Arabidopsis thaliana: one gene and its partners. The main gene of each other region encodes a partner of the protein of the gene in region 2 in a complex. Each region holds a gene or a part of one and is shown on either strand. Other genes may lie near its edges.

Region 1 (5,159 bases), on a different chromosome or scaffold from region 2:
AATTGGCTGAGACCATGAACTTGAACCACACAAGGATTCTCGCCTTCAGAAACAAACCTCAGGCTCCTGTCGAACTGCTTCCGAGCAATCACTCTGCTTCTCTTCACCAACAACCCAAATCTGTAAAGCCTCGTCGATACATTCCTCAGGTATGTACTGTATTTATTGCGTTTGATCCTTAAAGCTCACTTACTGGTTGCTGCATTAGAGTTGTATTGATCTGTTGCTAAACTTTCTGTTGTGATTAACAGACTTCTGAGAGAACCTTGGATGCACCTGACATTGTTGACGATTTCTACCTCAACTTGCTGGACTGGGGAAGTGCAAATGTCTTAGCCATAGCGTTGGACCACACTGTCTACTTGTGGGATGCTTCCACTGGTTCTACATCTGAGCTTGTGACCATTGATGAGGAGAAGGGACCTGTCACAAGTATCAACTGGGCTCCTGATGGTCGTCATGTTGCAGTTGGACTCAACAACTCTGAAGTCCAGCTGTGGGATTCTGCATCCAACCGTCAAGTAATTACTACTCTCTCTCTTTTATGTTGAGATATAATATCCGGTGTTCTTAGTCTGATGTGTTTCTCATATTTCTGCAGCTGAGAACATTAAAGGGTGGTCACCAGTCAAGAGTAGGATCACTGGCATGGAACAATCATATCCTTACTACTGGAGGAATGGATGGACTGATCATCAACAATGATGTGAGGATCAGATCACCCATTGTGGAAACTTACAGAGGTCACACTCAAGAAGTTTGTGGGCTCAAGTGGTCAGGATCTGGACAACAACTAGCAAGTGGTGGCAACGACAATGTGGTACACATCTGGGATCGTTCTGTCGCTTCCTCAAACTCAACCACACAATGGCTGCACAGGCTTGAGGAACATACATCTGCTGTGAAGGCTCTTGCGTGGTGCCCTTTCCAAGCGAATTTGCTTGCAACTGGTGGTGGTGGAGGAGACAGGACGATAAAGTTCTGGAATACTCACACTGGGGCTTGCTTGAATTCAGTAGACACTGGTTCCCAAGTTTGTTCGTTGTTATGGAGCAAGAATGAAAGAGAGTTGCTTAGCTCACATGGGTTTACACAGAATCAGCTTACACTTTGGAAGTACCCATCCATGGTGAAAATGGCTGAGCTCACTGGTCATACATCAAGAGTTCTATATATGGCCCAGGTAACGTCATCAATTTCTTTAAGTGGTGAAGTAGTTTGAGTCTTTGAGGTCATTCAGTCCTTAAACTTGTGTTGTTTGTTGTGTTTTCTACAGAGTCCAGATGGTTGTACTGTAGCTTCAGCAGCAGGAGACGAGACCCTGAGGTTTTGGAACGTTTTTGGAGTACCAGAGACTGCAAAAAAAGCTGCACCAAAAGCAGTTGCCGAGCCATTTTCTCATGTGAATCGTATTCGATGAAGCTGTTGAAGACTAAAACAACAAGGAAAACCCATTGATTGTTACAAAAAGAAACTATATATTTTTATTTTTATTTTATTACCAAAGGATTCATTCTTCGTGAATATAAAGATTACTTGTATATATTGAAATTTGAAAAAAGAAAGATTATGATTTTATACTCTTGAAGGATATCCACATTTATTATTCTACTGGAAACAAAGTGAGACTTCATGAAGTTGTGATCAGAGAACTCGTAGATGCTGACAGTTTTGTTTGAAAAGATGTTCACTGGTGAACTTTTGGACCATGGTTAATCGAATGCAAACTCTAGTGTAGTATCAATCTTTAAAAGCAAACTGAGAAAATATTTATTTACCGAGTCTGTGGCATCAAAATGGCTTAAAAATAGTTATTTACTAAACAACCCTTTGTAGTTTCTCTGTCATCCTAATTTAACCCAAACGTTTTGTCAATTGCACCATTAGCCCAAACGACAAAGCTTTGTCGTTTTGGCTTTTAAACCCTAGATTCGTCTTATCAGCGAATCTCCTCTGCACATTCCTCAGTGATCTATCAAAGTTCGAAGAGACCGACGCAAAAGGGACAGAAACGGAGAAGGAGAAAGAGGCAGAGATGGGAGTAGAGATCCAATCGCCGCAGGAACAGAGCTCTTACACCGTTGAGCAGCTCGTCGCCCTTAATCCTTTCAACCCTGAAATCCTGCCTGATCTCGAAAACTACGTTAACGTGCAGTTTCCTTTCCCTTTTCTCTCAAGCCGGATTCTGTTGTAGAAATCGTGTTCCATTGATTGTTGTTGGTTTCGTTATGATTTTCAGGTTACATCGCAAACGTATAGTCTGGAAGTAAACCTATGCTTGCTTCGGCTCTATCAGGTGCTCTAGTTGTTCTTAAGCTGGACCTTTTGATACCAAATTCAAGAGTTTTAGTGTCTCTTTTCGTTAATTGGTATTGTTGCTTTTATGCAGTTTGAGCCTGAGCGCATGAACACTCATATCGTGGCTCGAATCTTGGTCAAGGCTCTTATGGCTATGCCAACTCCAGACTTCAGCCTTTGCCTCTTCTTGATTCCCGAAAGAGTGGTATTCTTCTTTCCTCTTAACTTCACAATGTTTTGCTTTCTTACATATATAGCTTATCGTAGATACAGAAGAAACGATTGTTCAAATGTTTCTGACTCAAGTTATTATGCCATTCCAAGTTATTTCTGTCAGTTCAGTCTGTGTACTGAGCATTCATGATAAAGTGTGAGTTTCAATGTGTTGGATTCTTGAGGACTAATAAATGTACTTGTTTGGATTGTGTGTTTCAGCAAATGGAGGAGCAGTTCAAGTCACTAATTGTTCTATCACACTACCTTGAGGTACGCAAACATCAGTATTAGTTAGTTGAGAGTTGAAAAGGTGTGCATTGAGTATTTAAAGCACTTGTTTTTCTTTTGCAGACTGGGAGGTTCCAACAGTTCTGGGATGAAGCTGCCAAGAACCGTCACATTCTCGAGGCTGTTCCAGGTAACTAACTTCTGAATCATAAATAAATCGTCTACTAATAACAAATTTCTAGATGTAGATTTGTTACTTAAGGATATTTGTGTGTAGATGTCTTATGGTACGAACAAAGTCCTCAGTAGTGGTTTATGGTACTGTCTATTCATTTTATGATTGTGTCTAGTGTAGATGTCTTATATGCGAGAGATTAAATGCAGGTTTTGAGCAAGCTATTCAAGCATATGCAAGTCACCTTCTTAGCTTAAGCTACCAAAAGGTTCCAAGATCAGTGCTGGCTGAGGTATGATGTTTGGTTTATGATCTCGTTTTCACCACGGATAGCTTAAGTCATCAAAATAGTAGAACTTCGGATGTGAAATCTTTTACTTTCTCATATAATTTTCTGTTACGAATATTCCACATCATAGTTCTGGAAATCTAATTTGTTGACCTTTTATTTGTCAATAAATGACAATTTTCACAGGCTGTTAACATGGATGGTGCATCTCTAGACAAATTCATCGAGCAGCAAGTGACTAACAGTGGATGGATTGTTGAGAAAGAGGGTGGAAGTATTGTCTTACCACAAAATGAATTTAACCATCCGGAGCTCAAGAAAAATACAGGTGAGAATGTTCCCTTGGAACACATTGCCCGCATCTTCCCCATCCTTGGTTGAACCAATTCATGAGAACACTGCAAATTTTCCTTTTGTCTCTTGTTATCTTGTGATGTACACTTTTAAGACACCGTAATGTGAATTTTGGCAATGGCCTTCCTCTTTGCAATTTGACAGATTTTCTTAAAAATCTAGTAGACCGAGACTTTGCCATAATTAGTAGATCTTCATAGTCTGAGCTCTGCTTCTTACCTTTTTTTTTACCTTCCATGGATTCCAATACTGGTTTCTCAACAAGTGTTGGAATTGGCTCGTTTCTGATTGATTATCTTCTGTTTACTTCATTACATCTAAATAAACTAAACGAATCTTCAGACAACCCAAACAATTGTCTTCTTTAAAAAGCAAAGGAAAAAAAAAACTTTTGTTTAGGTTTCTTGGAATATAGAAACTGACACGGCAAATTTGTATTGAGAAAGTTTGAAATACAAAGAGACTGTCTATGTCTTGTCGTCCTCTCTACACAGATCACATACGAAGATTGACAGCCATCCATTTGGAAGCTCACATGTTGACACCAAATCATGTCACGTGCACAATTTTCTCTTTTCCCATGCATATTTTGACTGCTCCCTATGTGATAAATTTGACTGATTAAACTATAATTAGTTAGATCATCTCGTATCTAAGATGATTGCTTAAAACAATACTATTATTCTACTAACAACTAGGTTATTCCCAAGATCATAACTTTTGATTTTGATGTAACTAGTTTTGTAATTTTGTACATATATGAGACTTTTTTGAATTGCTTAACAGAATAAATAATTGAATTTTATGAATATAATATATAAATTTTCAATTTGATCGACAACAATGAACGGTGTTTTATTTATAATTGTTTTTTTGACAATCATGAACCTAATGATTTGTTTTTTCTATTTTATTTAGTCGACATAATGAAGACTAATGAAGATACAATATGTGATTGAAGTGAACAAGTTAGATTTAATTAAGATACGTGGAGGATATAAAGAAGGGTGATAAATACGTGAATAAAAAGTGAAATAAACAAAGGCAAACGATCAGACAGACAAGTCGTGAACATAAAAACGGGAGAGACAGGAAAAACAAAAGAAAGCCAGACGAGCACCAAAAAAGAAACTGCAAATCTTCGTTTATGTAAATCTTCTTACCGTCTCTCTCTTGTATTTCTTCAATTTCAAAGGTGGCTTTTTTTTCTTTCTTTGTTGGGTATTAATCTGAGAGAAATTGAGGAAAACTGTTTTCCCCTTTCTATGTTCTCAGCTTGGCACTTTTCTTTGAGATTATGGTTAATTGGTTCCCTTTTGGAAATTGATTTCAAATCTTATCCAGAAGAAATTTGGTGCCTTCTGTTTTTAAACAAATTTTCTAGAGTTTCCGTGTTTAATTTTTGTTTCTTATTTTGTTTTCTATTAAAAAATTCGTTTCTTGCTCGTGTTAGTTTTCGCATTTGGAGTTTCCTGACAGCGAGAGTTGCTCGTTTTCTGGGGTCACAACAGAAGAATTCGAGCTTGGAAGATTGAAATTTGAGATCTTTTGATCTTGAATCAAGCATAAATTCTGGATTTTGAAGTTTGAGAGTGACCC
Region 2 (10,761 bases):
AGCATCCACAGCTGGGTGAAAACCGGAGGAAGCGTTAATCGCATTAACACCGTAATTGGTCGGGAATACAAGACCGGTGGTGCTAGTACTTGGCAAGCAGTGATTATCCATTGGAATCATTCGTGGAGATTTGATAATTGAAGCTGATTTGAGCTACGATGATGCCCCCAAAGATATCAAATTTAGGGTTTTAGCAAATCCAGAAACAAATAAATGAAACAAAACACAGCTGAAAGAATAAAAAGATGAGAAACCCACCTCAGATTTGGCATCAACAAAGAAGATAGAGTAAAACTTTAATCAGGGGCAGTGATGGTAATTAGGGATGTGACCGACAAGAGAGAACGCAAGCAAACACCTCCGAGCAGTAGAACTGAAGATTATAAAGGATGTGATGTGAGAAGAAGATCGATCAGAGAGTGGCAGCTAATTGCGAACTCCAATGGGAGAAAATCGAGAGAGAGAGAGAGAGAAAGAATGAAAGAGAGAGTGTGTTTGTTTAGTAGTAATTGGCTGTGTTGTTTGTTTCTTGCAGAACCTCTTTGTTGTATTCATACTCCTTTGCTTTCTTTTCTTTTGGCCTCTTTTTTTTTTTTTTTTTTTTTTTTTGCCTCCAATTCCTTTTTTTCCATATTCTTCTTGGTAATAAAATTTTTATAACTAGCGAATTAAAATTGTATTGTTAATTTTTAATTTTAGTTAACAATTAATCACTTGCCTTTAAGTTTATCTTTAGAGTTTAGAGATATCAAGGCATCAATATGTAGATATCAATCTAGATTTGGATGGAGATCTTGGCATATTATTAATATTAGTTAAAATTTAGATTCATTTTCCGATTGTAACTAAACATCGAAAAAAGAAAAATTTACTTCTATTAGTATAGTGGTAGGCGTCAGAGTGACCCATGACATCTGAGTGGGAATTTATATACAAAATAGTTTTACCTAAATATTCATTTAGCAGTACTATTAAACATTCCTAGTTAATACTAATCTAAACCCACTTGTTGGATCGAACTCACACATAGTGGTTACAGAGTGTTGAGCCAAAATAATCGAGAAATGAAGAAGAGTCAAGTATCACAAACAATATGGCTTTTTGTATACATTTGTTCCTTAACAAGTCTTTATGAACACTGCAGGAAACAAACAAACATAAATGACATATAATTTACCAATGAAGCCTAAAGCATGACATATAATTTACCAATGAAGCCTAAAGCTTGCACCTTGCATTAGCGGGTGAGCAAAATATGCCCCAACCGTTAACGCAGTGATTGCAAGATATGGCAACCTGACAAATTCTTTGTAGTAATCCTCAGGTAAAACTTGCCGTCCTTCGAAAATGGCAGCAAATGGAATCACACTTGTTCTCTTCTTGATGCTTTCAAAATCCTCTCCATATCTTTTTGCCAATCTCCTGTCTCCATTCCACGCCCCAAACAAATGGTGTGCAATCAAACCGAGAGAAGCTGATGCAGCTACTGTGTTTCCGATCCAGAGAGTATGTGCTAAACACCAAACGATTTGTCCAACCATCTGGAGAAGATCAGAGGAGAGAGGTGCAACAATCAAGTCTCATTAACAAAGCCAGTATAATGAAGAGAGAATAGAACAAACCAAAACTGAAGCTAAAATGCCTATCTTTCTATATATTATCAAGTTTTTCCAAACACATGATGAAGCAATTGGATAAGAATTTTAAGATCAAAAGCAATATCAAGTAAAGTAATCAAGCATTGATGTAATAAACATAGAAGGATGAGGAGATTTGATTGTGCTGATGTAATGGGTGTATTTAAGTCAATGGCCAATACCTGCCCATAATTGATTCAATGATTGGGGGTCTCATTAACACAGCCACTAATAAACCTTGGCTCATAAAAATCCAATCTTTCTGTATTTTTGAAACACAAAAATGAAGGAAATTGTCTTCATGTTTAGGCACATTAGGGAAATGTTCAAAACCTGAGGATGTCGAGTGATTCTCATGATGCCGGTCTCCCAGAGATGCATCTTCGGTTTGTCAACAGCTGCTACCTCCAGAAGATTGAAGGTTGAAGGATAGAGAAAGAAGAAGGATACAAAATTAGCGACCCAAATAGCTTCATGGACTCCAGGAACACCCTGAAGCTGCCATAACTGTGACCCATCATATCTATGGTTTATAAAGTAAACCTGAAAGAAGAACAAGGCATTGCATAGACCATAAGAGACATCAAACAGGTATTTATACCATTGATCAGGAGAAAAATTGCAGAGTTAGAAGAGAGAGTACTCACAATGGTGCTCATAGCTAAAGGAAGAGAGATTCCAGCAAACAAAACACGAAATGCTCGTTCACCTATAAGTTTCTCTCCTATATCCCTTAGACTAGCTAAACCACTATGTACAATTGCAAATATAAGGATAAGCATTAACATAGCAACCTGCAAAAACAAGTGGTTTTTAACAATCAAATAACTGAAATTGAAACTGGTTCAGTTACTGTTAAATTGATCTATACCTCCGGTGAGCCGGAGATGTTAGAGACGGCGTCGATGAATGATTTTCCGAAACCGGTGGAATTATCGATCCAAACAACATTGAGGATAAAGAGAACAACTCCAAGGACAACACCGAAATAAACCCAGGAAACAAGCTTCTGTTTCCCTAATTCAAAAGCAGCAGAATCTTCACCGATCAGTAGAGTAGGACTACTCTCGGAGTCAGAGGCGATGGGTTGGTCTTCCCGGAGAGTGCTACGAACCAGAATTTTCCGAATTACCGGTGACGAAGAAGAAAGCAAGCTGGTCGAGTTTCCGAGGCGAGGATGAGCTGGGATACGGCGGATTAAGGTGAGGTTAGGGCGGCGAGGAGAAGGAGGGAGAAGAAGAAGCGAAGGTGGGCTCGAGAGAAGGAGATGATAAACCGCCATTGTTCTTGTTGGTAAACAATCTTTCGAAGAGGAAGTAATAAAAAGATGTCGTTTTTAAATTTCTTCAAACAATCGTCCGAAGAAGAAATAATAAACGTTGTCGTTCAAGGGATTTAGCGATGGAACTAACACTACAACTATAATAAAATCTCTATAAATTAGATTTTTTACTCTTTTGATTAGGATTTTGATAACTATGTATAATTTGTTGTAAGGCAATCAGAGGTCCAATACAAGATAAATCTTTCAAAACTTCAATAATTTTTCATTATGCATAAGAATAAAGATTTTTTTTGAAAAGCTTGTAAATTAAATTACTTCACAACAACAAAAATAAAAACAAAAACATCCACGAAAAACAAATATAGGATCCATTCTACCACCAAGTCTTTCACTTTCTGACTCAAAAAACAAAAACTTGGGTAGTCTTTGCAATCAGTTGTCGTGCAATGCTTTGGTCAGGTAAAGCCTGCTGAAGTTCTGGCCAGCCACTCTGCATAACAACAGGTCGACTCATTTTAAGTATCTTTCAAAGCTCCAAAAATGGTGAAACAATACTAAAGAGGAACATACCCATTGATTTGGCCACAGAAGTTTGAGACTTGGTTTGTGATGAGGAAACTCTCTAGCCTAGATGGTTCAGGGATCGCCTTAAAGATTGGGTTTGAAGGATCCTCTTCTGGTAAAGGCTCCTCTCCAGCTGATTTACGAGCCATGTTCTCCGTTCTATAAACCAAACACCTCTTTCATTAGTTGGAAGATCAAAAGGACAAGGAAAAGCTGAAGACAAATGTTACAAGGCATTCACAACTCTCGTAAGTAAAGTTGTATCACCTTCCAAGATAACGAGGTAGTGAAACTAATCAAACCTGAACTAGAACAAAAAGGTTCTGCAGAAAATATAAACCTACCTTCTCTTCTGGAGCCAGGCTTGCTGTTGTGCTTGCTGACGAGACAGGTTCCGGTAGTAATACTGGAACTGGAGAAATAAATTAAGATTTTGCGTTAAGATAGTTCGGACTTCTGATGATGAGAATTGAACAAGAGTGCAGAAGAAACCACACCTTTTGCTGTTCCATAGATAAATCATCCATGCATTTAATCAAAAACTCCATATTGTTCTCAAGGAAAGGAGTGGTTGATGAGTGTAGACGATCATAATCGCCCTAGAAAGGCGAAAATACAGAAGTATCAAGAGTCAAAATCTGCAATGCTGACAGCAAGCAAGGATCACTATCCAGATAGTAGTATTGTACCTGTGAGACAGGTGTATCAGTCTCCAGTTCGGTCATAAAGGCACTGACAAGGGCAGAATTTGAAACCTTGATCTGTCAAAGGAAAAGTAACAAACATTTAAACCACTTTTTTTGTCAGAGGAAAATATAATTAGGTAACAATTCCAACCTAGTGACTTGAAAAGATTAGCTGGTAAGAATTCAATATAGAAGAAAGCTAGAGACTTACAGGTATTTCCTCAAAAATATCCATCCAGGAGAAATTTTTCTCTCTCAACCTGAAAAAGATAGTGATTAAAACGTTACAACTATCATCCTAAGTGGCTCATAAAACCTAGATTTTCAATGGATCAAGATACATACTTCTCGCCAGTAAAGTTTCCACCTCGGTACAACTCCATAAAGGAATCTGAAAGCTTCAAAGCCTTCAAAGCTAAGACGCCTAGATCAGCTTTAGAGGGATCATATATGATGCACACACACCTCTTGATATTCTCCTGTAGATGCAGAAGAATCATTTCTTAAGAGTTCATATCATGATTCTGCAAGGGATTGTAACAGAGTTGCGGACAAAAAAAGTCTCAGAAAATATATTCATGATCCAATTTACATTCAACTTTTACACATGCCAATATACCTATCATACACTAGAGTAGCCATGCTATACATATAAATTTCCAGCTGAATGAAGAGCATAACATATGAACAGACCAAATCTAGAATGTTATAATGACATGGTAGACAGGATTCTTTAACAAAAAAAAAAGTACCTGGTAATTCATGAAGGTCTCAATCAGTTCCACAGTCTGATACGAACCAAGAACTGTAGATTGATACCTGAACAAAGAATTAGGCAGATCTAAATACATTCACAAGAAAAAATTTAACAAGTGAACTCAGACTGATGTCATTAAAAAACCTACCAGCCAACAGTGTTGTTGTCAACATTAACCTCCCTCAGACATCTCATCATCTCAAGCTGATAATTAGCACCATCAGCTTCAATTTCTTCATCATCATCCCTGACCTGTCCTCGTTTAAGATACAAATTCCAGTAAATCACATGTACATCAATCATGAACAAGCTCTTAAATCCTCACAATGCGTGTAAAATTCATCAACATACCGGGAAAGGAAAACAATTGGTAACTTCGAGGACGCTACCAACATCAAGTCCAAGAAGCTGTCCAGTGACAAGGGTCGGTGAAAACTCCTTGCAGTGTTTGATTATCTTTAGTACAGCCTATCACAATAGCAAACAAAATTCTCAGCATCACAACTTCCTACCAAATGATAATGGGCAAATTAGCTTCACCTAGAGAGTTTTTATTTATCAAACACCATCGGTCAGCAGAAAACGAGGAAAAACACTTAAAACCGTAAAATCAGGGAACACTAAGAAACGTTACCAGTCCTTCGATCTGAACAACTCTAAGCGGAGGAGCCACCGCCTCATCCTTCGATATCGCCTGCAGAAACGACCTAGCCACTGCAGAAATAAACCACGGAAGAAACTTAGCACGACATATACAGAAATCGTCAATAAACAGATGCAAATATTAATTCTATGTCCTAGTGAAGAACAGAGAGGATGATTATACTGACTGGTTGCCATTGAAATAGTCTCCGGTGATAGTGAAAGCTTCCTAGGTCAAAGAACTTGAATCTCCGCCGTGAAACCCTAACGATGTGATATTTTTACTGCCGGCGGCGGAGATGAGTAAGAGAAAGAACTTTATGTGTTTGATAGGGCTTCTCGAGGATCCGCAGATTTTTTTTTCCCTTCAATTTGGGTGTAGAGAGGAAAAAAAAAAAGCGTTTCGCAGTTAAAATTGCAAAAGAGCCCTAAAATTTGAGATTCTTATAGAATGATCCCTAAATGTTTTCCGACCTATAATAAGGATGGACCCAGCCCATGGACCTATAATGCTATTCTCTTGTAAAAGGCCAGGACCATAATATTCCTCAAAATATTGAACATTTAATTTAATAGCATGGGCCCATTACACTAACCAACTAGTCAAAACTTAGTAAGAAAAAACAAACAGTCATGGAGTCAACTAGAATCCAAAACTTTTAGAAACTTTCCCTCCAAATTCCATCCGGTATTAGGGTTTAATCGAAAAAGAGGACTAATTCAAAGTCTAATCTTTAGTAACCAACTTTAAAAAGTCTATAAGACATGGTCATTTCATAAGTCCGTAAGAAAATCAACAATGTCCTAAATAAACGGCAAAAACTAGAGAATCACCACTGGTATCAAAAAACGTAAAACCAAATATATAAAACGTATTAAATGTACTATAGTTTATTACTCGAAAGTCGAAAACCTTGATGATTCATTGAAGGTCAAAGAAGTCAACAATAATATTGATGCCAAATTAAATGACTGCAGTCTCTTTGCGAGGTTGGTGTTTGGACTGGTGGACCGCTGGTTAATAATTAACTCAGCCTTTACGTGAACTCAATTCTCACCTCTTCTTTATTACATTTTCATCACGCTTAAGCTAAGCAACTAATAAATTCCTAATTTAATAAACACTTCAACATCCTCGTTTTAGAGATTGAATACCAACCATGAATGTTAACACATCTTTAACTTTCCTCTCAAACAAAAATCCAACAATCTATATCCTCATTGTATAAATAACATGAGGTCCATATTAAAATACGATTAAAAATATTATAAAAACCATGTGAAGATTCAACAAGAAAAAGAGGTAGGAAAAAAAAGCAGCTCAATAATTGGTAGAGAGTGCAAAGAGGAACCAGACACCAACTGAATAAAATTGAAAAACAATGTCTCTCCTTACTTTAAATAAATCATCCCTAAAATTAATTATTCCCACCATATTTCTTCTGCTCCATACCACACTTCACCATAAAATCTCTATATAAATTTTCTCAGCAGCAGTAACTACCTTGGCCCCAAAACCTATCTGTCTCTGAATCTTGGCAAAGTAATAGCAACCATAACAATAACGACAAAAATATACGTGAATTATTTTTCTCTTTCTCCTTCGTCTCTCCTTCATAAACCCATTATTAATTTTTTTTATAATACTACTATTATTCATGAATGCATTGAAGATGTCACAGTGAGAACAAAAAAAAAGTTTTCCAGGCATGGCTTCACGTGATGACATCTTCCTCGACCAAGAACTTCGAGAAAAGATACTCAGAAAGTGAAGTGAGAGAGAGAGAAAATGCCGGGGAATTTTAATGCTTCTTCTTCTCTTCTTAGTGCTCACTACCAGAAGATTTCTTTCCGCCATTAAAGAGCAGAGTAGAGCAGAGCTCTCACTTTCTTCTTCTTCTTCTTCATTTTTTACCTTTCCCTTTTTTGCTTCGATCGAGATGCTTTAGCATAATGGGGCAGATCTGGAAAGTGACTTAATAATAGAAAGTGATGGCTTTGAGGAGATTCATGGGATGCTTTTTATGGAAACTCGATTTCGAACTGTATCAATCATTTCTGTTTCTTTTATGAGCTGAGGAAAAGAGCCACTCTTTCTGATTTGATTGATTCATCATTCATCGACAATGGCTTCTTCTTCTTCTTCTTCGTCTTCGAGTACGGTGTCGTTCGTAGTCTTTGCATTTACAGTCTTCTTCTGTTTGGTTACTCCGGCGAGATCTAGCGACGTCGAAGCTTTACTAAGCTTGAAATCTTCAATCGATCCATCTAATTCGATTTCTTGGAGAGGAACAGATCTCTGCAACTGGCAAGGTGTTAGAGAATGTATGAATGGAAGAGTCTCCAAGCTTGTTCTTGAGTACTTGAATCTCACCGGCTCACTTAACGAGAAGAGTTTGAACCAGTTGGATCAACTTAGGGTTCTTAGTTTCAAAGCTAACTCTCTCTCCGGTTCAATCCCTAACCTCTCCGGTTTGGTTAACCTCAAATCGGTTTATCTTAACGATAACAACTTCTCCGGCGACTTCCCGGAGTCTCTCACGTCTCTTCACCGATTGAAAACTATTTTCCTCTCCGGAAACAGACTGTCCGGTCGAATCCCTAGCTCGTTGCTTCGTCTCTCTCGTCTTTACACGCTCAATGTTGAGGACAATCTCTTCACTGGTTCGATTCCTCCTCTTAACCAGACAAGTCTCAGATACTTCAATGTATCCAACAATAAGCTCTCTGGTCAAATTCCACTGACACGAGCTTTGAAGCAGTTTGATGAGTCATCGTTTACCGGAAACGTCGCTCTTTGCGGCGATCAGATTGGAAGTCCATGCGGAATCTCACCTGCGCCGTCTGCGAAACCAACGCCTATACCTAAGTCTAAGAAGAGCAAAGCGAAGCTGATCGGGATTATCGCCGGAAGCGTTGCCGGCGGAGTACTAGTCCTTATCTTGCTATTGACGTTGCTTATCGTCTGCTGGCGACGGAAGCGGCGGAACCAGGCACCGAGGGAAGATAGAAAAGGTAAAGGAATAGCGGAAGCAGAAGGAGCAACAACTGCAGAGACAGAGAGAGACATTGAGAGGAAAGACAGAGGATTCTCATGGGAAAGAGGCGAAGAAGGTGCAGTGGGAACTCTGGTTTTCCTTGGAACCAGTGATTCAGGCGAGACGGTAGTGAGATACACCATGGAAGATCTGCTAAAAGCTTCGGCAGAGACATTGGGAAGAGGAACGTTGGGGAGCACGTACAAGGCTGTGATGGAGTCTGGGTTCATTGTCACTGTGAAGAGGCTCAAGAACGCAAGGTATCCTCGCATGGAGGAGTTCAAGAGACATGTTGAGATCCTTGGACAGCTCAAACACCCAAATCTGGTGCCTCTCAGAGCCTATTTTCAAGCCAAGGAAGAACGCTTGCTCGTCTACGATTACTTCCCTAATGGCAGTCTCTTTACTCTTATTCACGGTATGTACCTTAGCTTCTTTCAAGGTTCCTGTTTTATATAGCAATGCAGAGATTTGATGGGTTGAATCGAAACTTGGATACATTAGCCAGCTTCATTGTGTTTTATGTGTGTGTTTGTCTGTAGGAACTAGGGCTTCTGGAAGTGGGAAGCCTCTTCACTGGACTTCATGCCTGAAAATAGCTGAGGACTTGGCCTCAGCTCTGCTCTACATACATCAGAATCCTGGCTTGACTCATGGGAATTTGAAATCGTCCAATGTCTTGTTAGGTCCTGATTTTGAGTCCTGCCTCACGGATTACGGCCTCAGCACTCTCCATGACCCTGACTCAGTTGAAGAAACAAGCGCAGTGTCTCTCTTTTACAAAGCTCCAGAGTGCAGAGACCCACGGAAAGCCTCTACACAGCCCGCTGATGTGTATAGCTTTGGGGTTCTTCTTCTCGAGCTTCTAACAGGTAGAACACCATTCCAGGACCTTGTTCAAGAATATGGGTCAGATATCTCAAGATGGGTGCGTGCAGTGAGAGAGGAAGAGACTGAATCAGGTGAGGAACCGACTTCTTCAGGCAACGAAGCATCAGAGGAGAAACTTCAGGCACTTTTAAGTATCGCAACGGTTTGTGTGACCATTCAACCCGATAACCGGCCTGTGATGAGAGAGGTGTTGAAGATGGTGAGGGATGCAAGGGCTGAAGCACCATTCTCGTCTAACAGTAGCGAACATTCGCCCGGGAGATGGTCGGATACCGTTCAGAGCTTGCCAAGGGATGATCAAGTGAGCATTTAGAGAAATTGGGTGGGCCTTCTTCATTGCTTTCATAGAATGACACGTGTGATTCTTGAAGTAGGGTTCATAGTGTAAAGCTTCTTTTTTATTTTGTAACGCCATTTTGATTCATCGACCTTGTAGGACTTGCATAAGATCTATTGAATTGAGATGCTGGCATTGAGTAGTTGAAGAACAGAAGAATCTTTTTTTTTTCATTCTTACTCTTTCTTTAAATAACACGACATTCAATAGCATCTTTTCATTGACATGTAATACAACTTTAAGGAGGAAAAGAAATCAAGTATAGTATAGGAACAAGCCTAACTTGACATTGACATGGCAAGTAACTAAGTTGCATGTCCCTTCATATTGTGCTCCAACTATTAGAAATCAAAGGATTGATAAAAAGAACGCAAAAACAACAAAATGAAAATGTGATATCGGATATGCAGGTGCCCTTCTGTTAGTAGCCTTTGTTTCCTCGAATCCTGGCTCTCATGTCTACCTAGAGAAAACACAATTCGACATCCAATGAGACCAAGAGACTGTAAGGTGAATGTAACTCTTAAGTGTTCGCAAGCATGCTTAATCTTATTCCACGGCAGGTATGGTTCGTATCTTTTAAACATGATGGATGATTTCAAAGCTACATTATCACAATGGGTTTAGTGAACAAATTGAGGCTTTTCAAGTGGTGAGAGCAAAACATACCTGTCCTCTTTTACAGTTGAAGTAGGTTTCTCTTAGGCCAACACACTCACTCGGTATACATGGGCTTTTTTCACCAGTGCAGTCCCTAATTGATCGTTTCTCGCCCTATAACACAATCAGAAAACAAATGAAGTGAACTGGTAATTAGTTAACAGGTAATGAATACACTTATAATAGCTTCATCTTCAGACATTTTATATTACCTTGACACAAATCGATTCACTGAGACATTTGACAAGCTCTTCAGCAAGGCCC
Region 3 (10,863 bases), on a different chromosome or scaffold from region 2:
CTTTCTTTGTTGGGTTACTGAAAATGAGCAAACTTTAAGTCTTGCTTGTGGAATTGTTGTTGTTGGCATTGGTATGGTAGGTGTTTGCTCTTAGAGATGCTGGAGAGTTAGCTGAGAATGCTACTGCTTATGTTAGTTTGGAACCATGTAATCATTACGGAAGAACACCGCCGTGTACAGAAGCATTGATTAAGGCTAAGGTGAGAAGAGTTGTTATTGGGATGGTTGATCCGAATCCAATTGTTTTTTCTTCGGGTATTAGTCGGTTGAAAGATGCTGGAATCGATGTTACTGTGAGTGTTGAAGAAGAGTTATGCAAGAAGATGAATGAGGGATTCATCCATCGAATGTTAACAGGGAAGCCTTTTCTCGCCCTCAGGTAAAGTTCATTGCTTCTCTTGAGTGGAGACAAATCCGAGTCAATAGATTGTTTTTAAGTTTTGAAAATCTTTGCAGGTATTCTATGTCTGTCAATGGTTGTTTGCTAGACAAGATTGGGCAAGGGGCTTCGGATAGTGGTGGATACTACTCGAAGCTATTGCAGGAATATGATGCGATAATACTTTCTTCCTCGTTATCGGATGAACTCTCGAGCATTTCTTCACAAGAAGCTATTAATGTTTCGATCCAACCTATTCAGATCATAGTAGCTAGCAATGCACAACAGTCTCATATCCTTGCTTCTTCCCACACTGTGGAAGAATCGGGTCCAAAAGTTGTAGTTTTCACCGCAAAGGAATCGGTTGCAGAATCCGGAATCAGTAGTAGCGGGGTCGAAACCGTAGTATTGGAAAAGATAAACTTGGATTCCATTTTGGATTATTGTTACAACCGTGGACTATGCAGTGTCTTGTTAGATTTGAGGGGGAACGTCAAAGACCTTGAAGTTCTTCTGAGAGATGGATTTGAGCAGAAACTATTGCAGAAAGTAATTATTGAGGTCTTGCCGGAATGGAGCACAAAAGATGAGAGACAGATCGCGTCGATGAAGTGGTTAGAATCAAAGCATGTGAAAGATTTGCAGTCTAAGCAATTAGGTGGAAGCGTTTTGCTAGAGGGCTATTTTTGATGTTTTCATGTATGAATGAATACAAGTCATGATATTTACCTTTTTTAAAGCATAGTATTATTAAGGTTTTACAGATCCTATTATTAATAGATTGATAACAGATTTTTGAGAAAATGTTGTATTTTCAAAAGAAAATATTTTCACATGTTGAGAATCTGATTCGACCTTCTATGGCCTACACATGATGGGTATCCTAAGATGAGATGTTTTTTCTTAATTGGAGTTCATAAACCAAAACCCATAAAAAAAATTAAGGATGTGTAATAGAATGTGAAGTACATTCAATGAGAACTGATTGTTGATGTCGATTGCGTTACAAATTTGACAATTCTTTTTGGATTTTGGTGGAAATGTGAACTAACTGACAACAAACATCAACCATGTTGGATTTGTTTTTGTCAAAACCGATATATCTAGAGATATTCGAAAGAAAGAACGAAATAAACACTATACAATAGTCAATTTTAAATCACTTTATGATTTAACAATCCTAAGTTCCTAACTTCAAATTTAAGATTTACAATAGCATGAATTTTAGTCTTTCTTATTGTTTCATAGCATTATTGTATTAAAAAATTACTCTACAGTTACACCATCTCTCTTTATAATGGTTGTTTCAATTGAGTTAATCATTTACTATTAATCTGAAAATTTGTAGTATGAATGTTATTGTTGGTACACAAATTGGTGATGGAACAAAAGATTAAGAGGATATCTTTTATGTCGACAATGGTCGAGTGGTTCAACAAAATCCACGCAATCGCCTGAGCGAAAAAGTTGACCATACTCAGCCCCACCACTCTCCACTTCATAACCTTTTTCTTTTATCCTTCTTCCTTTTGCATTTATACAAGTATTTTCCAATGACGGAATGCAGAAAGAAAAAAATTTGTTAAGCAAATGTCATAAAATATAAAAATATCTATAGCAAGTGACTGTAACTACGATTAACTCAACCGATTGGAGAATTGAGTAACTTATATCGAACTCAAGTTCGAACATACGCTATATATGAGAGTCAAAATTATTGATCAAAATATGCAATGTAATGGTCCAAAATTCAAAATATTACCAAAAAGAAATTCTATAAGTTAATGTTGGAATTATGATAATAAAAAAATACTAATTGATAGATATGAAACAATTTAAGACGATCCATTTGAGACCCGGGAAATAGATTAGTTTATCAAGTATTAATTTATAAAGATTTTACTTTGGACTATTTGTTCAAAAAACTACGTGATGATGAGTTTTCTATGCAAAATCAATTACCGATATGTGGATGATTCTTGTCTTTTGTAGTAATGTTGGTTATCTTTCACTCTTAATGAGAGGTTTAATATCATGTGAGAGTTAACGAGCTTCTTATTTGAGTCAATTGTAGATAAATAGCTTAACATATGCCCTTATAAACTAGCGTTGATTCTCAATCCAATTTGAAACTATTAACAGAACCATTAAAAACTATATATGAACACATAAAATATATAATTGACCATAACGACGAGTCAAGATATATATTTAAAGAACTTACTTTTTTCCACTTTGTTTTGCTTTTTTTTTTTTTAGTCTTTGGTACATATATATTACAAACCCTTTTCCAGTAAATAGTTAGCACAAACTAATTATCAGATGTCACTTAAACCAACCTCCTTCTTTATATAAGCTTGGTTAACATTGAGTTTGTTATCATGGTCTATGTGAAACAATTCAGGAATAAAAAAAGAAATGGAGCCGAGCCATTCAAACACAGGTCAATCAAGATCTGTAGATCGCAAAACGGTTGAGAAAAATAGAAGGATGCAAATGAAGTCTCTCTACTCAGAACTCATCTCTCTTCTTCCTCATCATTCTTCTACGGTTTCTTCCTCTTGGCCCTCTTATATGCTTATATAATCTAAGATTCCATGTATGGGTGATGATCTTAATATTCTAAACTCTTTTATTATTTCATGTTAGGAGCCTTTAACACTACCTGATCAGCTAGATGAAGCTGCAAACTACATCAAGAAGCTACAAGTGAACGTGGAGAAAAAGAGAGAAAGGAAAAGGAACCTCGTTGCGACTACAACTTTGGAGAAACTGAATTCCGTCGGATCTTCATCGGTTTCGTCGAGCGTCGATGTCTCCGTGCCAAGAAAGCTGCCAAAAATCGAGATTCAAGAAACTGGTTCCATTTTTCACATCTTTCTTGTGACAAGCTTGGAACACAAGTTTATGTTTTGTGAGATCATTCGTGTTCTCACCGAGGAATTAGGAGCTGAGATCACTCATGCTGGATACTCCATTGTTGATGATGCTGTCTTCCACACCCTTCACTGCAAGGTATAATTCGGAAAGTAAAACATTTTTTGCAATGGAATTTAAGAATCAAACTTTGCTACTACTACTATGTTAAAACTAGGTCTAATCCAGCTTGTATACACATTGGGAATGAGTTCAAAGTTAGGGAATGATATTTATACTTGTTGTTTTTATATTTAATAAAACTTGCACTCAAAAACGCTAAGAAGCTGCATGTTCCCATCTGATTGTTAAGTTTCTACTAGCTGATTCCTATTAATATCCATATGTTAGTAAACTAAATTTAATTTATATTTTATATAGGTGGAAGAACACGATTATGGAGCTAGGAGTCAAATTCCTGAAAGACTGGAGAAGATTGTGAACAGTGTTCACTAATATTGATTCCTTGTTCCTTTATTAAAAAAAAAAGTTCTATGTTTTTGTTCCTTTTCTTGAATTATTTTTGGTGTTAGCTAGATTCCTTTTCTTGAATTGTATCATGTGCTGTGAGAGTGATGTTTCATTTGTAAGCATAATATATACTTTTCTCTACTTAAAGCTGTGAAATATATTTTGTTTTTTGGTATCAACAAAGCTGTGAAATATATGAAACTTAGGATGATGATTTTCAAGAACGAAACCAAAAAAAAAAGTTTCTTAGAATTAATACATGAACGAGCGAAATAACTTCACCTTTTTTCAATGTGTTATACTTGCCCAAGCATTTGTAATCTAGTGATAGGAGAAACTTTGGTGATAGGTGAAACTCTCAGATCCGAGTTTGAATATCCCGTGGTATTAGTTAGAAAACATTTAAATTCGGGACAGATAGTGTTGTGGTCCTTCGGGAAAAGTTTACTTCGGAGCACTTTGGTGCGTTTCTATCGAAGCTGACCAGATCAGCAAATAGAGTTTATCAAAAAAAAATGTGTTATACTATTTCAAATTGATGAATTTGAATTCTAAATTTTTATTTTATTTTATTTTTTTCTCAAAGTCAGAAATGAAAAACATGATTTAAGACTTCAAGTGTTATATATGGGTTTTGAAGAATACTAAAGCCCATGAGCCCAAACATTAACAAAAATGTTTTTTTCTTGTACCTTCTCTCTTCAACGTAGACTAAAGAATTAGGGTTTCCGCTTTCCACACACACAGCTGCAACACTATCTTCTCAGAAATGGTAACCGAAGCTTTCGAATTCGTCGCCGTTCCTTTCAATTCCGATGGCTGGGGACCTCCAGACGCTTCCGACGTTTCCTCCTCCGCCTCTCCCACCAGCGTCGCCGCCGCTAATCTTCTCCCGAACGTTCCTTTCGCTTCCTTCTCCCGTTCCGATAAGCTCGGCCGTGTAGCTGATTGGACTCGCAATCTCTCTAATCCATCCGCTCGTCCTAACACCGGATCCAAATCAGATCCGTCTGCAGTTTTCGATTTCTCCGCTTTCGCAATCGACGAAGGCTTCGGTCTCGCTTCCTCCGGTGGTAATCCCGACGAAGACGCAGCTTTCCGTCTCGTCGACGGTAAACCTCCGCCGCGTCCTAAATTCGGACCTAAATGGCGTTTCAATCCTCACCACAATCGGAATCAGCTTCCTCAACGGCGAGATGAAGAAGTTGAAGCTAAGAAGCGTGATGCTGAGAAGGAACGAGCTCGTCGTGATCGTCTCTACAATAACAACCGTAACAACATCCATCACCAACGCCGTGAAGCTGCCGCTTTCAAATCATCCGTTGATATTCAGCCGGAGTGGAACATGCTTGAGCAGATCCCTTTCTCAACATTCTCGAAGCTCTCGTACACAGTTCAAGAACCAGAAGATCTTCTTCTCTGTGGTGGCCTTGAGTACTACAACCGCCTTTTCGATCGCATAACGCCGAAAAACGAACGCAGACTCGAGCGTTTCAAGAACAGGAACTTCTTCAAAGTCACTACTAGTGATGATCCTGTGATTAGGCGTTTAGCTAAGGAAGACAAAGCTACTGTTTTCGCTACTGATGCTATATTAGCTGCTCTTATGTGTGCTCCTAGATCTGTTTACTCTTGGGATATTGTTATTCAACGTGTTGGTAACAAACTGTTCTTTGACAAGAGAGATGGATCACAGCTTGATTTGTTGTCTGTGCATGAGACATCTCAAGAGCCATTGCCTGAGTCTAAAGATGATATCAATTCTGCTCATTCTCTAGGTGTGGAAGCTGCTTACATCAATCAGAACTTTTCGCAGCAGGTTTTGGTTAGAGATGGAAAGAAGGAAACTTTTGATGAAGCCAATCCATTTGCTAATGAAGGTGAAGAGATTGCTTCTGTTGCTTATAGGTATAGAAGGTGGAAGCTTGATGATAATATGCATCTTGTTGCGAGGTGTGAGTTACAGAGTGTTGCTGATCTCAACAACCAAAGGTCGTTTCTTACTTTGAATGCTCTTAACGAGTTTGATCCTAAGTACTCTGGTGTTGATTGGAGACAGAAGCTTGAAACTCAGAGAGGTGCGGTTTTAGCTACAGAATTGAAGAACAATGGAAATAAGTTGGCTAAATGGACTGCACAAGCTTTATTGGCTAATGCTGATATGATGAAGATTGGTTTTGTCTCTAGGGTTCATCCTCGTGATCATTTCAACCATGTTATATTATCTGTTTTGGGGTATAAGCCGAAGGATTTCGCTGGACAGATTAATCTCAACACTTCTAACATGTGGGGGATTGTGAAATCCATAGTTGATCTGTGTATGAAACTAAGCGAAGGGAAGTATGTTCTTGTGAAGGATCCATCGAAGCCTCAAGTGAGGATTTATGAGGTTCCACCTGATGCTTTCGAGAATGATTACGTTGAGGAACCGTTGCCTGAAGATGAACAGGTTCAGCCAACTGAGGAAAACACAGAGGGAGCAGAAGCAAGTGTAGCTGCAACTAAAGAAACCGAGGAGAAGAAAGCTGATGATGCTCAAGCTTGATGGTTATAAAGTCAGGTAGTTCATACAAACAACTCTCAAATTCAAAAGGCGGTTACCATAATATGCTTGTTGGATTTGATTGAACACTTGTTTAGGATCGTGAATTTATACTTAGAACCCAAGAAAATGCAGAAAGTTGGTTCTTACTTCTTAGCCATAGAATCTTGTTCTTATTCATCTGAATTTCATTCTTATAGTTTAGAAACTGGTGACTTAGATTAATTGATGATCTTTATTATAAGTATAAACGTCGTATGAAGCATCGTCATTCACAATTTGGATACTATATTCTTCAGGTCCAAAGTCTACACCTTTCGTTTCTGGGTTCTTTTGAGAGTTGAAGCTTCAATCAAACAACAACAATGGAGGTTCCTTTTTTAATTATCTTGTCCTTTTTCAAATTTTTGTGGTACTGCTGTAATTTTAAGTCAGAAATGAGATTGTAGAACACTATCTTCGTGACATCTTTTGGAAAATCATTACGGATTGTTTACAGAACAGAAATCTTTTTACTATGACTCTTATAGCCACCAAATTTTCTTGAATCATTTTGCATTAGTTTTATAAAATTTGGTATTTTATGGTTCCAACTTTTGTTTGTTTCGGTCGTTTGGCGTATTCTCTTATGAGCTTGATCCTATTGTCCTGGTCGGTTTTTATCTCTGTTAAACTGACATAGATCCTATTGTCCTGGTCGGTTTTAATCTCTGTTAAACCGACATACTTCACATATATTTATTATTATAAACCCCAAATTAGAAAACTCAACCAAAATGGTTTTTACTAAGCATTCAGTTTTTTTTTTTTTTTTTTCATGTTTCCAATAGTAACATCAGATTATTAACTAATAATCGTAGCAACGGCAAAAACCATATCAGAACAGCAGAACAAACATCCCCCAAAAGCCTCCTCTTAAATAGGTTGTCTCTAAACCCTTCAATCTCCAAAACATAATAACATACTCCATTAAGCAAAATCTAATCTCGAAAGAAGAGAAACATGGATACCAACGCAAAAACAATTTTCTTCATGGCTATGTGTTTCATCTATCTATCTTTCCCTAATATTTCACACGCTCATTCTGAAGTCGGTATGATTACTACATCTCTATTGCATTCTAGTAAAATTAATCTTTTGTATCAAAATTCAGATTTAATGATTTGTTATTAACTTTAATCTGAAAACAGACGACGAAACTCCATTTACTTACGAACAAAAAACGGAAAAGGGACCAGAGGGATGGGGCAAAATAAATCCGCACTGGAAAGTTTGTAACACCGGAAGATATCAATCCCCGATCGATCTTACTAACGAAAGAGTCAGTCTTATTCATGATCAAGCATGGACAAGACAATATAAACCAGCTCCGGCTGTAATTACAAACAGAGGCCATGACATTATGGTACGTAAAACTTTATTATAGAATTCAGTTATTCTCACTTAACTATATTATTATTACAACACTAATCATTTGAAATCTTAAAGGTATCATGGAAAGGAGATGCTGGGAAGATGACAATACGGAAAACGGATTTTAATTTGGTGCAATGCCATTGGCATTCACCTTCTGAGCATACCGTTAACGGAACTAGGTTTGTTGTTTTCATTTTTAATGAGCATTTTCAACTATAGACCCATATTAAGTGGTATTTACACGATATTTGGCATTATTACAGGTACGACCTAGAGCTTCACATGGTTCACACGAGTGCACGAGGCAGAACTGCGGTTATCGGAGTTCTTTACAAATTAGGCGAACCTAATGAATTCCTCACCAAGGTATCATATTTAGATTATTGTTAAACATTGTATTTATAGAGTTTGTTATTGATTTGTTATTTTCAAATTTATAAAAAAAATGCAGCTACTAAATGGAATAAAAGCAGTGGGAAATAAAGAGATAAATCTAGGGATGATTGATCCACGAGAGATTAGGTTTCAAACAAGAAAATTCTATAGATACATTGGCTCTCTCACTGTTCCTCCTTGCACTGAAGGCGTCATTTGGACTGTCGTCAAAAGGGTATTTATATTTTTGTTTCGTTTTTATAGTAATTTTCTTCTTTATGCATTACATATTCATTTTTTTCAATATTCAAATTGCAAAATACATCAGTAATTTTTTTTACGTCGGTATATGTAGGTGAACACAATATCAATGGAGCAAATTACAGCTCTTAGGCAAGCCGTTGACGATGTAAGTAGTCGAAATTTGCTAATGTAGTTTCATTAGCTAATATTGATTTTATTACTAATTTAGTTAGTTGACTGATCAATAGGGATTTGAGACAAATTCAAGACCGGTTCAAGACTCAAAGGGAAGATCAGTTTGGTTCTATGATCCAAATGTTTGATATATTTACTTCTATTATTTTGTAATTTATACCCTTTTAACAAAATTATCATTTTGTAATATTTGAGATTTTTTTCAAACTTTAATAAAGAAAACAATTGATGAGTATTTTTTTTTAATATACCATTAGTATTCCACTATAATAATCATCATCGGAAAAAAAAAAACACGCCTGATTACATCAACGTTGCTAAAACAGTATGTCCTATAAAAGCTAGGCAAGCAGTGTTAGCTACTAAATCCAACTCTAATCAAGCAGTATAAAAACTTGAAACAACAAATAAACATAAATATGTATGGTCAAAACAAAAAAAAGTGAGAAGGAGTCATATGTTCCTTCAAAACCTTTTCATTTCCTGATGTATTCAATACAATTAATGTATTCCATCAAGAGGATTAATACATTCGATTAATATCACTTTCTTTCACAAATGTTTTTTTTTTTTGACAATTATATCATCAAGCCAATCCATATCGAAGAATCTATACTAGTCCCTAATACGATAACCACGTGACAAAAATGTTTACACAAAAGAAGCTTTGGTAGCAATTTGTCTTGGTTTTACTCATCTCTCATTCGATACGGTAGAAAACAAAGTCGATCCATAATGAACAATAATAGAGTATCAAAAACAAGGAAGATTATACAGTCGAATGAAGGTGAAACCCCTGAAATAAGCAATCAGAATCGCAATATGAACCAAAGAAGCAAGAGAATTGCCGAACGTAAAACCATATAGAGGAAGAGGCCAACTTAAAAGAGCCTATATTTTACATTTTGTTGTTTAGGATTTCAGTAACTTTATGTTTTTTTCGTCACTTATGTATCAAGTTTCTTGTTATTATTTTTCTATGAAAATGAAAGAAATTCAGTCTATGGAATGGAAGCATGAAAATTAGACATTACATATGTATAAAAAAAAAAACAACAATGTATAGATTTAACGTATCTCTTATTCTCTTACACAAGAGATTTAAAATAATATCTCTTTGTTTGACTTTAATGTAATTTTTAGTAAATCCAAACAAACAAACAAAAAAAATAAGTTCTGAATACTAGTCTTTTTTGGTTCGGGTCGTTCAACAGAATCTTTCTGAATGGGATTAACGGTTTTCTTCTCTGTTAAATTATCACATTTCACATTAGCTACTATAGAAGCCCAAATTAGAAGAAAAAATGAACTGTTTTAAATTTTGTCACTGAAAGTTTCTATTTTCCAATAAAATCAAATACTACAACAAATGATTAACTAATAACCGTAGCAACTGCTAAAGTCATAAAAGAACATTAAACAAACCTTCCCCTAAAGCCTCCTTTTAAATAGGTTAAATACCAAACCCCTTTCCATGTCCAAAACATACTCAAGAACATTAAGCAAAATCAAATCTGAAAGAAAAAAAAAATGGATGCCAACACAAAAACAATTTTATTTTTTGTAGTGTTCTTCATCGATTTATTTTCCCCTAATATTTTATTCGTTTATGCTCGTGAAATCGGTATGATCACTATACATCTCTGTTTTATTCTAATAAAATTCATCTTTTGGTATCAAAATTTATGTTTATGTGTATGATTTTGCTAATTTAATTTGAAAGCAGGCAACAAACCGCTATTTACATACAAACAAAAAACAGAGAAAGGACCAGCGGAATGGGGCAAATTAGACCCTCAATGGAAAGTTTGTAGCACCGGAAAAATTCAATCTCCGATTGATCTCACTGACGAAAGAGTCAGTCTTATTCATGATCAAGCCTTGAGTAAACATTACAAACCAGCTTCGGCTGTAATTCAAAGTAGAGGACATGACGTTATGGTAAAACTTTTATTTCATTTTAGTTATCTCACATGATTATATTAATCATACTACAGTAATCATTTGAAATCTCTTTTTTTCCCTAAAGGTATCGTGGAAAGGAGATGGTGGGAAAATAACAATACATCAAACGGATTATAAATTGGTGCAGTGCCATTGGCATTCACCGTCTGAGCATACCATTAACGGAACTAGGTCTGTGGTTTCACAAAAAACAAAATTCGGTTACGTTAGCTAGATTTTCCAAAAAAAGAATATGAACATACTAATTTGTTTATAAAATGTGTTATGTACAGCTATGACCTAGAGCTTCACATGGTTCACACGAGTGCTAGTGGCAAAACCACTGTGGTTGGAGTTCTTTATAAATTAGGTGAACCTGATG

What was found.
Region 1: TIF3H1 (region 2) and EIF3K share a complex: the UniProt entries of both Arabidopsis thaliana proteins name them as parts of the eukaryotic translation initiation factor 3 (eIF-3) complex.
Region 3: TIF3H1 (region 2) and AT4G20980 share a complex: the UniProt entries of both Arabidopsis thaliana proteins name them as parts of the eukaryotic translation initiation factor 3 (eIF-3) complex.

The regions. Positions count from the first base shown.
Region 1 is NC_003075.7:16,037,494-16,042,652, reverse strand, and holds EIF3K (eukaryotic translation initiation factor 3K), read left to right. Parts: upstream 1-1,844; 5' UTR 1,845-2,035; coding exon 2,036-2,149; intron 2,150-2,239; coding exon 2,240-2,296; intron 2,297-2,389; coding exon 2,390-2,503; intron 2,504-2,733; coding exon 2,734-2,784; intron 2,785-2,865; coding exon 2,866-2,932; intron 2,933-3,126; coding exon 3,127-3,209; intron 3,210-3,392; coding exon 3,393-3,587; 3' UTR 3,588-4,002; downstream 4,003-5,159. Other genes in the region: CDC20.2 (Transducin family protein / WD-40 repeat family protein), read left to right, coding at 1-149, 252-521, 602-1,183, 1,277-1,420. UniProt on the Arabidopsis thaliana protein: Component of the eukaryotic translation initiation factor 3 (eIF-3) complex, which is involved in protein synthesis of a specialized repertoire of mRNAs and, together with other initiation factors, stimulates binding of mRNA and methionyl-tRNAi to the 40S ribosome.
Region 2 is NC_003070.9:3,604,531-3,615,291, forward strand, and holds TIF3H1 (translation initiation factor 3 subunit H1), read right to left. Parts: upstream 6,087-10,761; 5' UTR 5,770-6,086; coding exon 5,760-5,769; exon of another isoform or gene 5,644-5,759; coding exon 5,564-5,643; intron 5,398-5,563; coding exon 5,281-5,397; intron 5,182-5,280; coding exon 5,078-5,181; intron 4,992-5,077; coding exon 4,925-4,991; intron 4,652-4,924; coding exon 4,518-4,651; intron 4,433-4,517; coding exon 4,384-4,432; intron 4,248-4,383; coding exon 4,176-4,247; intron 4,086-4,175; coding exon 3,984-4,085; intron 3,899-3,983; coding exon 3,831-3,898; intron 3,646-3,830; coding exon 3,493-3,645; intron 3,413-3,492; coding exon 3,355-3,412; 3' UTR 3,101-3,354; downstream 1-3,100. Other genes in the region: AT1G10820 (hypothetical protein (DUF3755)), read right to left, coding at 1-120; Z-ISO (15-cis-zeta-carotene isomerase), read right to left, coding at 1,206-1,541, 1,971-2,180, 2,285-2,431, 2,509-2,919; AT1G10850 (Leucine-rich repeat protein kinase family protein), read left to right, coding at 7,698-9,027, 9,152-9,813; AT1G10865 (cytochrome C oxidase assembly factor), read right to left, coding at 10,259-10,300, 10,507-10,611, 10,710-10,761. UniProt on the Arabidopsis thaliana protein: Component of the eukaryotic translation initiation factor 3 (eIF-3) complex, which is involved in protein synthesis of a specialized repertoire of mRNAs and, together with other initiation factors, stimulates binding of mRNA and methionyl-tRNAi to the 40S ribosome.
Region 3 is NC_003075.7:11,212,462-11,223,324, forward strand, and holds AT4G20980 (Eukaryotic translation initiation factor 3 subunit 7 (eIF-3)), read left to right. Parts: upstream 1-4,419; 5' UTR 4,420-4,535; coding exon 4,536-6,311; 3' UTR 6,312-6,326; exon of another isoform or gene 6,327-6,607; 3' UTR 6,608-6,717; exon of another isoform or gene 6,718-6,919; intron 6,920-7,106; 3' UTR 7,107-7,177; downstream 7,178-10,863. Other genes in the region: PyrD (Cytidine/deoxycytidylate deaminase family protein), read left to right, coding at 81-379, 457-1,069; AT4G20970 (basic helix-loop-helix (bHLH) DNA-binding superfamily protein), read left to right, coding at 2,798-2,929, 3,029-3,394, 3,677-3,751; ACA4 (alpha carbonic anhydrase 4), read left to right, coding at 7,311-7,401, 7,499-7,713, 7,797-7,903, 7,988-8,090, 8,176-8,334, 8,455-8,508, 8,591-8,665; ACA6 (alpha carbonic anhydrase 6), read left to right, coding at 10,068-10,161, 10,264-10,478, 10,567-10,673, 10,775-10,863. UniProt on the Arabidopsis thaliana protein: mRNA cap-binding component of the eukaryotic translation initiation factor 3 (eIF-3) complex, which is involved in protein synthesis of a specialized repertoire of mRNAs and, together with other initiation factors, stimulates binding of mRNA and methionyl-tRNAi to the 40S ribosome.